2 linked regions of the Rattus norvegicus genome follow. The protein of the gene in region 2 interacts with the protein of the main gene of each other region in a biochemical or structural test. Links are inferred from orthologs where the notes say so. Each region holds a gene or a part of one and is shown on either strand. Other genes may lie near its edges.

Region 1 (7,905 bases), on a different chromosome or scaffold from region 2:
CCTCAAAGAGCCCAAAGTAGTTAATTGTTTTTTGTTTTTTTTAAGAACTTGAAGGGCCTGGAGTTAGGAATGTAAGACTTTGAGTTTTTTCAAGGCAGGTAAAGGAAGAGCAGAAGTCAGCTGACTTGTTCAGAGGGCAAGAAAGGAGGAATTTTTCCAAGGCTTGAGTTCTCAAGAAGAGAGCATCTTTGGATGAATGCTTTTTTGTAAAGCTAGATTAGGAGAGACTTGTATTAGCTGAGGACTCCATATTATACATGGGTTTACCAACCAGATACATTATTCCCCAGTAACAAGCGGGGAATCACAAAGTTGGCCTAGGGATACCATCACTAAGAAAACCATGGACTTTTAAAGACAGGGTGGTGATAGAATTTACACTTGCAGTGGACCTGGGGAAAAGCAATGTTTCCTGTTGGTGAGAGGGGAAGAAAACCTCTCAAGGAATTAGACAATGTTCATATGGAAGCTGTGGGAGTGTATACAGATTTATTTTTGAAAGCGAGACTTCTATGTGCTGGTGATTTAATATGAAGAAACTGCAATTCAGAAATAGATGCAGAGAGAAAATAACAGGTTGAAGGGATAAAAGGAACAGGAAATAGATGGGACAGTAAAGGTATAAGTGGTGTGTGTGTATGTGTGTGTGTGTGTGTGTGTCCACGTGTTCATACATCCATGCGTCCATCATGCCTGAATGTGTTGTTTCTATTCAACTCCTAGAGTTACATATTTATTAGGAACATCACTTTGCTCACAAACAGATTTGAGGAAGTAGAGTAAGACAGATCCCAGTCTGGTGTGCCGAGGGTAGCCCTGTGTAGGGAATAGCTCTCAACCACAATGGTAAAGGAATTACTCGCACACATCAAACTGTCCTCGCATTTACCCAGATTACTTTTTTTGGATCCTATTCTACTGCTAGTGACTGTTTTCCTATCTCACTTTATAAGTGTTCCCCTCAACCCCTTTTTCAGTTGAAATTTGATTAGACAATCACAAGCTTGCTTTCTCTTGGTTGTAGACTGACGGCTACAAAACCATTCCTCAGTTGTTTTTTCTCCTTTTAAATTTAGATTTGATTCCTTTATTCTCTGGGTGAACAGTATTTTAGTGGACGTTAGGAAAATAGTTTTGCCACTTTCTTGCTTTGAGTTTCTAAATATCTCTCCCCACTTCCCCGCACCCTGGTTAGGGCCTTTCTTATGTTAGGCAGACACGGCTACCCAGCTACATACTCAGCCCTCAAAAGACTACTTAAGAACATCATGCCCAAAAAGTATCTCTGGAAAAAAGTGTGTTTTGACATAAGTCAGATCATAATTCCTTTCTTAGAGTTAAAGATCATGTCCCCTCCCCTCTCCTATCTTTGCTCTCTCAGGCTGGCCTTGAAGTTGCTATGTGGCACAGAATGACCTGGTCCTCCTGTCTACCACATCACTGGATTTACACTCTTCTAGGTAAGCTATCTCTCTCTCTCTCTCTCTCTCTCTCTCTCTCTCTATATATATATATATATATATATATATATATATATATATATACACACACACATATATATATGAAACTTTTCAAAATAAGTGTAAGTTCCTTAAATTTTATCAGTACCAAAATGTTTGCCTTCATCACTTCACAAAACCAAGATTTATATCCACCACTTCTCTTTGAATATTTCCTTTCTTTTCTTTTGCAGATATTCCCTATGTGGTCTTGTATAGCTTCATGAACTCAATATGGAAACCGGGCTGACCTCAACAAACTCACAGACCTTCTTTTGCCTCAGTCTCCCAAGTGCTGAGATTAAAGGTGTGTGTCACCACGCCCAGCTTCTTCATTTTGAAGGACCTCTTTGGATAGGATTATGGGAAGATCCCGAAGCTAAACGGGATCTGTTGGTATTGAATAAACAACGGCGTCCGTTTGTGTCTAGACTGAGGAAGAGTCACAGAGAAGGAGATGCAGGATTTGACTAGGGCTGTGAAATTTTGCTATCTTATTCCTAATAGAAAGCTTTCTTGATCTACCGCTCACCACTTACACATCAGCATCTCTTGTGGCTCCATAGAGCTGAGGACTTCACAAACTGTCACGACCATTTTAGAAAGATTCTGCCCAGCAGGAGGGGGATGGGCGAAAATCCTAGCTCAAGTATCCCACTGTCAATCGTGGAACTTTAGAATGTTTTCAGGAGACTAAGGAACTTTTAAGCTAATTAAACGTAATCACACACATAGCAGAAAGGGTTATTAACAATGCCGATTTCAACGGGAAGGCCTGGCTTCTCAAATGTCCATTCTTTGTTTCCAAACCTGTCGAGTTTCCCAGTTTCTAAAAATAAGAAATTAACTACTACTTAAGAGGCAAAGGCAGGTAGATGTGTTAAGTTCTAGGTCAGTCTGGTCTGCATAGTGATTTCCAGGACAGTCAGGGTCCTCTTCGAGAGCAAGTGCTCTTTCCAGTCTCAGGTTTTGATGGGGGCCGACCCAAACCATCTCAGTAGATTGGTGCCTCTGACTTTGACTTGAAGATTTAAGGTCTGGATTAAGCCTCTGGGCTTCTTTAATTAAGTGTTTGTGTTTATGTTGGTCTCTACTACTACTCTTTTTTTTTTTTCCGGGAGGGGGCGGTGGTTGAAAACTTCCGTTGCTCTCATTGGTTCTCAGACACTAGGCCCCGCCTCCCATCGGATGGACCAATTGAAGCGCGAGTTGGAATTCAAACTGCGGTGCGCCGGGTCGTTGGTGGCGTAGTCTTGGGTGAGTTTTAGCTGCGAGTGTGTCGTTGCCAAAGATGTCTTGGGCGAACTCGGGGTGGCGGGGCAGGAAGACCCGGGACTGGAGGCTGGAGCAGGGTCGGGACTTGTGCTTCACTGGGCCCGGCGTCCCGGGGCGCTCTTGGCGTGCTTGACCCAAAGCGACGCTGTTTTCATTTTCTTTCTTCCCTTCCCACACACTTCAGGGTCTCAAGCAACCCAGACTGGTCTTGAATTGTTATGTAGCTGAGGCCAACCTTGAGCATCTGATCCTCTTGGCTTCTCCTTCCTATCGCTGAGCTGGTAGGCTGGAGACAGTTGTTTGGGTGCCAACATCAACAAACGATTTCTGTAGTTTAGCGTTTATGACCCTGGCGTGAAGATTTAAGGTCTGGATTAAGCCTGTTGACTTCTCCAGCTACTTCTAAATTTTTGTGCATAGGTGCTCTGGTCTCTGTTGCTGCTTAGTTCTTCCAGTCTTCCTCAATGCCAGTTTTATAATATGCAGGTCTCTCCCCTCAGTAATCCAGGATGGCTACTCTGATCTTTGTTGATAAGGATAACGAAGAGCCAGGCAGCCGTTTGGCATCTAAGGATGGATTGAAGCTGGGCTCTGGTGGTAAGTATCAGCTGCCTTGAGATACACAGGTGTCGTGAATGGATTATGGCCCCTAGTATTTAGTGTACTTTTGTGGTTGACCGGAGTCAGGTTTGATATATTTTCACGCTTATTATCTTTCTTTTTAGAATACAGTGTCATGTAGCTCAGACTTGGTCTCTAGTTCCCTATGTAACCCTAGGATGGTCTTGGACTTCTGATCCTTTTGACTCCCCCCCAGCCCAGGGCACTGATTAGAGGCAGGGGCCACTGTGCCCAGCTTATGCGCTGTAGGGGATGGAACTTGGAGCTTCTCAAATGTTAGGCAATCACTCTCCCTAATGGTCACATCCCCAGGCACTATGCTTAAATCATTTTTTGAGATGGGGCTCCCCTACATAGCTTTAATTGACCTGGAATTTGCTATACAGATCAGGCTGGCCTTGAACTCAGAGATCCACTTATCCCGGCCTCCAAAGTGATGGGATTAAATGTGTGTTGCTACGGTGCCTGGCTTCATGCTTATTGCCTTAATGAGTTTATTGAAGGGTTCTAAGTCACTGCCCAAAATGAAGCACAGGTTTGTGGGTGAGAATTAAGTTGATGAGGTGTTTACATGGCCTGACCTTGAAGAACAATGTATTTATTACCTTTATTTGTGTATGGGGGGGGGGGAGTGCACACATGCCATGGTGTGTCTGTGGAGATCAGAGGGCAACCTGTGGGAGTCCATTCTCCTTATGCTATGTGGGTTTTGGGGGTTGAATTCAGGTTGTCCGGTATGGCCGAAAGCCCTCTACCCACTGAGTATGTTATACTTTTATGATTGTCCTTTTTTTTTCAACAGTCAAAGCCTTAGATGGGAAATTGCAGGTTTCAACGCCACGAGTCGGCAAAGTGTTCGGTGCCCCAGGCTTGCCTAAAGCCAGCAGGAAGGCTCTGGGAACTGTCAACAGAGTTACTGAAAAGCCAGTGAAGAGTAGTAAACCCCTGCAATCGAAACAGCCGACTCTGAGTGTGAAAAAGGTGAGCGAGGGCTGCGAATACTTGCACATGTGTTGGCGCTTTATAAAAAAAAAAGTTTATTGTTTTTATTCATGTATATGTATCTGCGTACAAGCAGACTACATGTGTGCAAGGCACCCAAGGAGGCCGGAAGAGGGCGCTGGGTTCTTAGGAAAAGGAGTTGCAGCAGGTGTGAGCTGCCTTACGTGGGTGCTGGGAACTGAGTCTGGCTCCTTCGGAAGAGCAGAGTGGCAAGTGCTAACCACCGAGCCATCCCTAAGCCCCGCTGTAGCACTCGAGTGCTTAAAAGCGGACTTCCCCCTGCCTTTCTTCCTCTGAGTCCGAGGTAAATAGAGGTCCAGAAATGCAGAAGCGTCAGGCTGTGCTACTTCTCAGCACCCTGAGATTGCAGCTCTCGGGGACAGTAGCTAATGCTGATTCTTCTGCTTCAGCTGTTCTTAGCTAGTGCCAGGAAGCAGTTGGCTGGGAGGCCTGAAGCAAACGTGTGAAGTATTTAACTGGGTGTGATAGGCACCTGCAATCCCAGCACTTGGGAGGCTGAAGCTGGAGGAGAGGCTGGTTGGAGGCTAGCCTGAACTACACACCCTCCTCCCTACTTTGGTATACACATAGAGTGGATAAGATCGGATGTTTCTGCTGCTTCTTAATTCCATCTGCTTAAGGAACACGAACTTGTTGATATTAACAAAGTAATTAAGGTAACAGTGGCAGAAAAATCACACTTTTATAAGGTAAAAGTGACTTCCAGGATTAGCGACTATTCTGGGGGTGCCTCAAGCCTGTTTTGCTCACTGTTAGGTTTGAACAGTTGAGTTGATTAACTTTGAATTAACCCTGCTCATTATTCTTAGTGATATCTGTTGACAGGTGCTAAGATGTCGTGACTTTAATAGGAGTACTTTTTTTTTTTTTTTTTTTTTTTTTTTTTTTGGTTCTTTTTTTTCCGGAGCTGGGGACCGAACCCAGGGCCTTGCGCTTCCTAGGTAAGCGCTCTACCACTGAGCTAAATCCCCAGCCCCAATAGGAGTACTTTTAATTTATGCGTTTGGATATTTGTCTGTATGCTATTGTATTGGTTAGGGTTTTACTGCTGTGAACAGTAAATGTAACAACATTTAATTGGGGCTGGCTTACAGGTTCAGAGCTTCAGTTCATTATCAATGCAGGAAGCATGGTAGTAAGTGTACAGATAGGTATGGTGCAGGAGGAGCTGAGAGTTCTACATCTTTGTCGAAGGTGGCTAGGAGAAGACTGGCTTCCAGGCAGCTAGGACAAGGGTATTAAAAGCCCACGTCCATTGTAACACACGTATTCCAATGATGAGGCCACACCTCCTAATAGCATCCTTCCCTGAGCCAAGCATATACAAAGCATCACAGTATGTACGTGTACCATCCCTGAGGAGGACATGAGACATTGTTTCCTTTAGACTGGAGTTAAAGATAGTTGTGAGCCACCCTGTGGGTGCTGGGAATTGAACCTTGGTCTTCTGTAAGAACAGCAAGTGCTTTGAACCACAGAGCCATCTTTCCAGTGTGTGTGTGTGTGTGTGTGTGTGTGTGTGTGTGTGTGTGTGCGCGTGTGTGTGCGCGTGCGTGTGCGCGTGCGTGTGCGTGTGCGCGCGCGTGCGCGTAGGGCAGGGCTGGCACATGTGATGGCATGTGTGTCAGAGTCTGAGGACAACTTCCAGGAGTCAGTTCTCTCCTTACATTTACACTGAATCCTGAAAACTAAGTACTGTGACTTCTTAGAAGACAGCACTGAATTGACAAATTCTAAATAGTGACGTCAGCATTTGAAGAGGCTGCCCAATCTCATGCTACCATGCAGGTGGGCAAGACTTCCGTTCTCACAGTGCTTATTCTCTTTGGTTTTTCTAGATCACCGAGAAGTCTACTAAGACACAAGGCTCTGCTCCTGCTCCTGATGATGCCTACCCAGAAATAGAAAAGTTCTTCCCCTTCGATCCTCTAGGTAACAATGCCTTTGGTATGATGGGCAGGCCCTCTGCTGGAGATTTCTCTCAGACTGATTTCTCCATGCGACTATAATGTGCAGCTCTAGAATCCCAGACTGTCTGAACCTGGGTTACTTTGAAAACATAGACTGTTCAGGTGGACTCACTTGTATCACCTTCAGAATGGGAGCAAAGATACCAAGGAAACATCAAGTTCAAGGTGATCATTGTGTGAGTTCAAGGCCAATCTGATCTACAGAGCAAGTTCCAGGACAGCCAGGGCTATGTAGAAGGGACCCTGTGGGGGGAAAAAGTGTAGTGGGCTTGGGGGTGCACACCTTTAGTCCCAGGCAGAGGCAGGCAGAGCTCTCGAGTTCAAGGCTAACCAGGGCTATGTAGAGAGACCCTGTCTTAAACAAACAAACCAAAAAAGAAAAGGCCAAGTATAAATAATGTAAGATAAAAATTCAAATTAATGTCATGCTAACTATTACAGGTGAGTGTTCCACGATTCTAAACTTTTTCCCGTTTCTGAATTCCTCATTGGTGACAACATTTTCCTTGAAGTGCGGTAGACTTCCCTCATTCCTTGAGGAGAGAGTATGGAAGGAATACATTCTCTTGACTGTAGTTTGCCTTTCAGATGAAAACTGTCTCCCAGGAGAACAACCCTGGCTTGGCTTGCAGCTCAGAGCACTGTAAATCCCTTTTTCTGTGGCATCAGCATGCTCACCGTAGTTTTGTAACAGAATCTTTGACAGGGAATGGGGACCTGCTCTGCAGTTCAGCATGGTTTTGAACTCACGGCGATCTGCCTACAGTCACTCTCCCACACCACCATAATACTTGCATCCCAGAACCTATTAAAGAATGTTCAAGAGCTGGGCCGTTAAAATTATACTTTTTCCTGAGTCTGGCAAAAGTAATAGTTAAATTAGGGTGGTAACTTTATTATCTAACTGGCTATTGTTAAGTTGGATCTTAACAATATTCTAAATGACGAATAGTGGCGAAGAATAGTTTGACTTGGTGGACCTCACTGGGGCCAAGGGAGCACTCCCCTGATGCTTGCCTCCCCTCTGTGACAGATTTTGAGAGTTTTGACCTGCCTGAAGAGCACCAGATCTCACTTCTCCCCTTGAATGGAGTGCCTCTCATGATCCTGAATGAAGAGAGGGGGCTTGAGAAGCTGCTGCACCTGGACCCCCCTTCCCCTCTGCAGAAGCCCTTCCTACCGTGGGAATCTGGTGAGTGAGGCCATGCCCTCTCGATGGGCTGTAAGCAACTTGTTAAATGGCATGTGTTGTTGTAGGGACAGTTGTATGGGTGAGCCAGTGTGCAGCTTTGGGGATACAGGGACAACATCTAGAACAGTAACTTTCCTTGGTCGTTGTGGTTGGGTCCAAAAAGGTGTTCTGGAATCTTGGTAAGCCTTTGGTGATAGCAGAGGGTGGAGTTTACCACACAGCTTCTTAGGCTATGAGTTGAAGCCTATAGTAAAGTAACTGAGACTGGACGAACACTCCAGTTTCTGTCCTCGGCTGTCAGAGGACCAGTGTAGACCGACAGTTA
Region 2 (7,209 bases):
AGGGGCTGGGGATTTAGCTCAGTGGTAGAGCGTTTACCTAGGAAGCGCAAGGCCCTGGGTTCGGTCCCCAGCTCCGAAAAAAAGAACCAAAAAAAAAAAAAAAACAAAACAAAACAAAACGAGCCTGTAGGGGACATTCTAAACTCAAACCGTAACAGACTGCGTCTATAAACACTCTAGAGACTGCGTCTGTAAATGGAATGAGTAGGGCAGAGGCAAGAAGGTAACTCACTGCCGTCGGCTTGAATGAGGTCCCTGGTGATCGTCAGACACCCAGCCACATGGCCAGCTGCCCATTCAGGTGTTGGCGTTCAGGAGACTGCTGTCCAAGCCGTTGTGTGATCTCTTGCTCTTATCTCTAGGTGTCAACACGTGTGACATCATCACACTCTACATTTCTGCCATCAAGGCATTACGTGTGCTAGATCCCTCTATGGTCATCCTGGAGGTGGCCTGTGAGCCCATCCGTCGCTACCTGAGGTGAGTGCCACTGGCATTTGGCACTTTGTGCTGACTGCTGGTGTTTGCAGAACCAGAGCAACAGTCAGTCCTGAGTGTCAAACAGATGAGGCTCTGCCTGGGTAGGGCTGGATTGGCTCAGGGTAGGGCCCCCGCCCTTTTCCTTTTGCTAGTGTTAAGGTGGTTGTCCGCCCCACTATACAGAGTTGCGCTGTGTGTATATGTATGTATAAAGAGTGCTCTGGTGGGTTCCTTGGCAAAGCTGGTCCTTAAGCCCTTCTTGGTAGCTCAACCCCTGCTTTTTCGGAGTAGTACTTTTATTTTTATGACTCGGGATGGGCATGCTTTTAGCACTTGCTAGTTGGCACCGGCCACATTAGCATGGGCTGTAGCAGATGTCATGATGCCCATGCACATTGTTGGGACAGCAGCATTCAATCCTGGCAGGACACGGGAGGACACAGTACGGCAGATTGTGGCTGGGCTAACCGGGGACTCGGATGGGACTGGGGACTTGGCTGTTGAGCTGTCTAAGACTGACCCGGCCTGCCTGGAGACCGGCCAGGACAGTGAGGATGACTCTGGCGAGCCCGAGGACTGGGTCCCTGACCCTGTGGATGCTGATCCAGGTCAGTGCCTATTGGCCTCACCCGGCCTTTTCCTGGGTTTCTTCAGTGGTCTCTTGGGTTCTGGTTATGGATGTTGCTACCCAACCCTGATTATATCAGAGGCAGCCATTGCCTCAAACTTGGGGTGCGTGTGTGAGAGGTCAGGGCCATGCGTAACACTAGCTGGTTTGTTATATGTACCTCACTGGCTACCTTAGCTAGCTATAGAAGGTGCCTTTGTGGGTTATACCTGAGAGACCAGGTTCATAGGAAGTCTGCATACCCCACTCTGCTGTGATTTGATCCTGATTCTCATGTATTAAGGTGGGATTCTCTGCCCAGGTCCCATCTTTTGCTTGACCATACTCTGCTGGGTTATCATGGGCTGTGGATTCTTTGTCCTGCTGAGGTCTTAGCATGAACACAGCATCTTCAACCTTTTAGAGGAAAACCTTTGTTCTCTTCCTTATGGCTGACTGAGGATCCTTGTGAAACAGGAGGCACTGTTTATCAGAACAGTTGCCTTAGGAACCAACCCCAGCTCTGCTGGGAGACATTAACCCCAGCTGCCTGGGGCATTTAGAGCAAGCCCCCCCCCCCCCCCCGCCCCGGGCCGTGCAAGACTGCTGTATCCAGCAGGTGAACTCTGAGGTGTCACTTTCCTTGTCAAAGTGCAGTGGTACACATTAGCTCCTCTGTACTGTGCAGCAAAGTCAAGTTCCAAGCGACGCTCTTCAGACATCATCAGCCTGCTGGTCAGCATCTATGGCAGCAAAGACCTGTTTATCAATGAGTACCGCTCCCTCCTGGCCGATCGCCTCCTCCACCAGTTCAGCTTCAGTCCGGAGAGGTAAGGCAAGGAACTGGTTGACCTCCAGGGGGTGCTGAGGCCTAAGCCTTCACTTGGAGGAAAGCACATGACTAATATTGACTGCCCCTATTGGCCAAGAGTTGTAGGAATAATTAATCTCTATTGGGGCTTTCTACCCAGTCTTATATCATTCAGTTCTTCTGTTCCCAGATAAAAGAGATTTTATCTATCTAAAACACTAGAGCTGGGCAGATATCAACTCTGTAAGCTATTATGTCTACTTTCTTATTAATAATTCTGAGTTAAACTTGTTGTGTTTCATCTGGGACACTCAACTATTGGCCAGCTCTCACAGCCATGGTATCTTCTCTCCAACTGCTTTTCTCTTTCTTCCTCGCTGTCCTGCCTCATACCCCAAGCCAAGGAACCGCAACCTTGTCTACCTCTCTTCTGCCCAGCTATAGACTGTAGCATCTTTTAATAGTTTTAAATTAAGGAGCAAGGCTACACATATCATCACTTGGTGTACATGAGGATCTCCTCATCCCTGAGACAACCAGACTTTGGGTGGGTGGGTGGGGGCAGTAATTATCATTACAATACATAACAAAGACCAAACCTCAACAGCCAGAATGACCAAACTTTGGCCCTAGTCTTTTGCTTCCTGCTTTCCCTTCAGCCCAGTGTTTCCTGAGCAGGTGGGTTGTCTGGTCCAGCTGTCTGCTTAGGGTATCAGTTGAAATGGAGTCACATTGCAGCCCCTCACAGAAACTTGTCCTTGCAGGGAGATTCGTAATGTGGAGCTGTTGAAGCTGCGCTTTGGAGAAGCCCCCATGCACTTCTGTGAGGTCATGCTCAAGGTAAATACCCAGGACTGCCCCGAGAGTTGTGCCTACCATCACCATTAAGCCCAGGCCGTTGATGAGGTATCCTTTCTTAGGACATGGCAGATTCCCGCCGCATCAATGCCAATATCCGTGAGGAGGATGAGAAGCGGCCTGTGGAAGAACAGCCACCATTTGGGGTCTATGCCGTCATATTGTCCAGTGAATTTTGGCCTCCCTTCAAAGATGAGAAGCTGGAGGTCCCTGAGGACATCAGGGCAGCCCTGGATGTTTACTGCAAGAAGTATGAGAAACTGAAGGTACAGCCAGTAGGCCTCTGGGTAGTTTGTGTCTCTGATCAGACCATCAGACCCCACATAGAATTAGCCCATGTCCAGGTAGCACAGCTGAGCCCTAATGGTGTAGAGGTTAGAGTTCAGGGAGTGGTATGGCCAAATTCAAGGATCCTTCCTGAGCTGGTGTCAGTTATGACATGGGAGGCAAGAGTCTAACGCAGGTGGGGCAAGCGTCCTACTCTGGGTCATACATAAATGTGGGGCCAGCCTTGTCGGGTCAGGCTGGACACTGACGCCTCAGGCAGGCGTGCCATGGGGGCATCTGCAGCATCTTGTTCCTGATGAGCATAGTGCTGAGGCTCGTGCTTCTTCCTGGGATCAGAAGACCTTACGTGGCTTCATGCTAAGGATCTGTGCCCCTGGATGATCCCTTTGAGTACTTGAGGGGCAACAAAATCCAGTCAGAGGCCCTGACTGGAGAAATTAAAGAAGGGGAGTGTCTGTGTCAGTAGCCGTGAGAACCTTGCTACCTGGCTGAGTTTCTGAAAGAGTCTAAATATGGTCTTTGGCCTTTACTGACACCAGGTGAAAGTGTGGTTACTGGTCACCAGTATGTCCTGTTTTGGTTGAGTACCACAGCCCTACCACTTCCTGGCCAGTCCTGTGTACTCAGTGTCCTCTCCTACTGTTCCTCTGACCTATTTTGGTATGAGGTCCTCGTTGGCTTTGCTAAGTTTTTGCCCTGGGTCCTAGACATGACTTAGATGCGTCTTGTTGATCAGATCCAAAGAGTTAGGATGGCCATACACTAGTGTGACTCAATTTTTGGTGGTACTAGAATGGCTCTGGTAAACCCTAGGGCTGTGCTAAGAGGGCAAGCCTGTGGCCACAATAAAGTTATCTTTCACCAGCCAAGTTCCTAAAGGATCTGGCTGGGTTTGTGGGTGACTGACTATGCAGCCCATATATTGTGATGTATTGTGACCCTTTTTCAGGTCATGGCTTTAGAACCAGTGTTAGGATAGCTAAACTGGATGAAACCAGGGGAAGCCATTGATACTGCCTGTTTCTCTATCTGTAGAGTGAGTTTATTGGTATACTTCTCCGTTAAGAGCTACAGGGGTCCCAGAGGGTCTCAGGCCATCAGTTTTGCCACTAGGTCAGAGGTACCAGTGTCCTGGGTGTCCTTATGACATACTGCAGACACAGGTTTGCCAGATTAGAGCTGTATTGCTGAGTTGTGATGCCCCAGGATGCTCTAGGGAAACCATTTTTCCTGCCTCTCGCAGGAGCCCTAGCAGACCTAAGTAAATGGACTTTTTGTTTGTTTGTTTTGATTTTGTTTTTCGAGATAGGGTTTCTTTGTATAATCCTGGCTGTCCTGGAACTTACTCTGTAGACCAGGCTGGCCGCCAACTCAGAGATCCGCCTGCCTCTGCCTCCCGAGTGCTGGGATTAAAGGTGTGCACCACCCTTGCCCAGGTGGTAAATACATGTCTTTATGTCCAGGTTTTCTCTGTCTGTTCCTCTCTTCTTAGGATACCATTTATAATCAGATTAAGGACCAATTCTACTGCAGGACAACCTTATTTTAGCAGATTACTTATTTAATGACTCTGTTTCCAAATAAGGCCACATTTGGAGATAGGACTTACAGTGTCACTGGACAGTCAGTGTCCTGAGCTTTACTACTGTCTCTTTGAAGAGATACAGTTTGACCCATGGCAGTCTGTAGTTTCTAAAATTACTACTCTTCCCAGGAGCAAATTAGCCAATACCAGTATCTCCCAAGTAGCATCCCAACTGATGCTAACCACTTCAGCATCAGTTCTTAAAGTCTCTTCTAGTCCAGGGGGGCAGCACATGTCTATGATCCTAGCACTCAGGAGACTAAAGTAGTAGGACAGCAGGTTTCGTGTCCAGCTTGACGCTGTGACATTGTTTTGATCAGAGTCCATTGTTCAAACAAGCCTAGGTCAGAAATGGGCATTCCCAAAGGAACCTAGAAGGATCATGAGCCGAAAGCAAATCTGAAACCCAGCAGGCAGAGTTCACAGTCTGGCTCAGGCTTTGGCACCTGGCTTGCCTTGCAGCCCCGTGTGTACTCTCCCGTGCTGCTGTCACTTCATTCACGGTCAGCACTGCTGCTGGCATAACATTCAAAACCTTGGTGCTTTCCATGAAATGTGCAGTATCCAATTTATCAAGTAACGGCGTGGTCCTGAGCTGGTGACGCCTGTCCTCCCAGCCTTGGAAGGTGAGCACAGCAGCAGCATCCTAGTTTGAAGCTAGCTTGCTGTACATAGCAAGTTTCAAGGCAACTAGGGCTACAGAGTAAGGTCCTGTCTTTAAAAACAGGAAAAGAAAGGGAAGCGGTGGGTTGGGGATTTAGCTCAGTGGTAGAGCGCTTGCCTAGCAACCGCAAGGTCCTGGGTTCGGTCCCCCGCTCAAAAAAAAAAAAAAAAAAGAAAGGGAAGCGGTATCTTCCTGGCCATGCTGTGTGTTCTAGTGGATCTACAAGTCACAAGTCACACTCATCTCAGCGAACGTCTGGCCACAGCCTGGTGGTTTTCTGCCAGCTTCCCCCAGCGTCTAGTTTGTTCCTCACTTCGATCTGCGCTCTCACCAGAAGGTCCTCTTAATGTCCTCATCTCTACCAACATTATTCTCCACAGTCTGTGCAGTAACTCTCTCTTCTGAACCTTCACCAGCATCATCTCACCTGCCATATCGTTACAGCCCATTGGCTGTAACAGATCTAGGCTTTAACTTTCATGTGTTTCCCCAATGTACAAACAATTATAGCAGTTTCCCTCCCTCTCTAGAACATTTTTTTTTTTTTTTGAGACAGGGCTTCTCTGTATAGCCATGGCTGTCCTGGAACTAACTTTGTAGACCAGGCTGGCCTCAAACTTAACAGAGATCCTCCTACCTCTGCCTCACAAGTGCTGGGATTAAAGGCATGCATCATCCATACAGCAGAATCTTCATTTATTATGACTTCTTTAACAAAATGTCACAGGCCGAGTGGTATTAAACATGAGAAAAGTATTGTTTTAGTTGTGGGAAGTAGAAGTCCAGTGTCAGGGTGGGCAGGCCCGTGCTCCTCTTGATGCCTCTAGGAAACTTGCCCAGCTTTTGGTACATCAGCATGTGTATGCCTTTCATAACCGCTCTCTGCTGTGCTTTAAGACCTACCCTACTTCACTGTGACCTCTTTTTAATTACATCTACACTAACTCTCTTTGCAAATAAATAGCTCATGGTCCGAGGTACTGAGACATGAGAGGGACACAACTTATCATCAGTGTTCATTGTTATATCATGGTTGTTCCAGAACTGGAGACTGGAACCAGGTCTCCTGGTCTGGCTGCTGACTACATGCCTGCCAGGGATGGCCCTGGTACAGGTCATTGGTGCAAGAGCCATTCCTTGCTGGGTAGCCTGGTATAGAACCTATGCCTTGTTCATCTGGACCTGCCTGGAACCCACTGGACTGTTCTTGATGATTCCTGCCCAGGCTATGCGGACACTCAGTTGGAAGCATACCCTGGGCCTGGTGACGATGGACGTGGAGCTGGCTGACCGCACCCTGTCTGTTGCGGTCACCCCAGTGCAGGCAGTGGTTTTGCTGTATTTCCAGGACCAAGGTGAGTCCCTAGAACCCCATCTGGTCTGCCTTGAGCACACTACCTTGGGGCTAGTGCTAGACACTGCTGTCTGATAAGCTGTAAGGTGACATACTGACCCCCACCCCCTCCAGAATTTAGAGGTAGCAACCATTCTTTTTACCTGTGAGTAACAGTTACAGGACAATGCACATGCATCTGGGGGTCCAACTGGCTAACAGCTATTGGAGCAGGCATATCTCCAGGGTACCCTGCATTCTGTGACTCTGCACACAGCCAGCTGGACCTTGGAGGAGCTGAGCAAGGTGGTGAAGATGCCCGTGGCACTCCTACGAAGACGCATGTCAGTGTGGCTGCAGCAGGGTGTGCTGCGGGAGGAGCCTCCCGGCACTTTCTCTGTCATTGAGGAAGAGCGGCCTCAGGATAGGGACAACATGGTGCTGATTGACAGTGATGATGAAAGTGACTCGGGCATGGCCTCCCAGGCTGACCAGAAGGAAGAGGAGCTACTGGTATGTTGGCCATTTCCACATTGGGCTGGGGTGGGCCAGGTAAGTGGCCAACTAACCAGGTCTGGCTTCT

Evidence for each region. The genes of interacting proteins can lie anywhere in the genome.
Region 1: the proteins of Anapc2 (region 2) and Pttg1 form a complex in vitro, tested with the Homo sapiens proteins (2 studies listed by BioGRID, with this or other methods). The link is inferred for Rattus norvegicus from reciprocal best matches to the Homo sapiens genes ANAPC2 and PTTG1.

The regions. Positions count from the first base shown.
Region 1 is NC_086028.1:28,401,165-28,409,069, reverse strand, and holds the start of Pttg1 (securin), read left to right. Parts: upstream 1-2,743; 5' UTR 2,744-2,756; exon of another isoform or gene 2,757-3,141; intron 3,142-3,193; exon of another isoform or gene 3,194-3,260; 5' UTR 3,261-3,283; coding exon 3,284-3,371; intron 3,372-4,197; coding exon 4,198-4,376; intron 4,377-6,256; coding exon 6,257-6,350; intron 6,351-7,421; coding exon 7,422-7,580; intron 7,581-7,905. UniProt on the Homo sapiens protein: Regulatory protein, which plays a central role in chromosome stability, in the p53/TP53 pathway, and DNA repair. Probably acts by blocking the action of key proteins.
Region 2 is NC_086021.1:28,488,758-28,495,966, forward strand, and holds part of Anapc2 (anaphase-promoting complex subunit 2), read left to right. Parts: intron 1-362; coding exon 363-480; intron 481-906; coding exon 907-1,088; intron 1,089-1,775; coding exon 1,776-1,917; intron 1,918-2,662; coding exon 2,663-2,738; intron 2,739-2,818; coding exon 2,819-3,022; intron 3,023-6,518; coding exon 6,519-6,648; intron 6,649-6,803; coding exon of another isoform or gene 6,804-6,903; coding exon 6,904-7,139; intron 7,140-7,209. UniProt on the Homo sapiens protein: Together with the RING-H2 protein ANAPC11, constitutes the catalytic component of the anaphase promoting complex/cyclosome (APC/C), a cell cycle-regulated E3 ubiquitin ligase that controls progression through mitosis and the G1 phase of the cell cycle.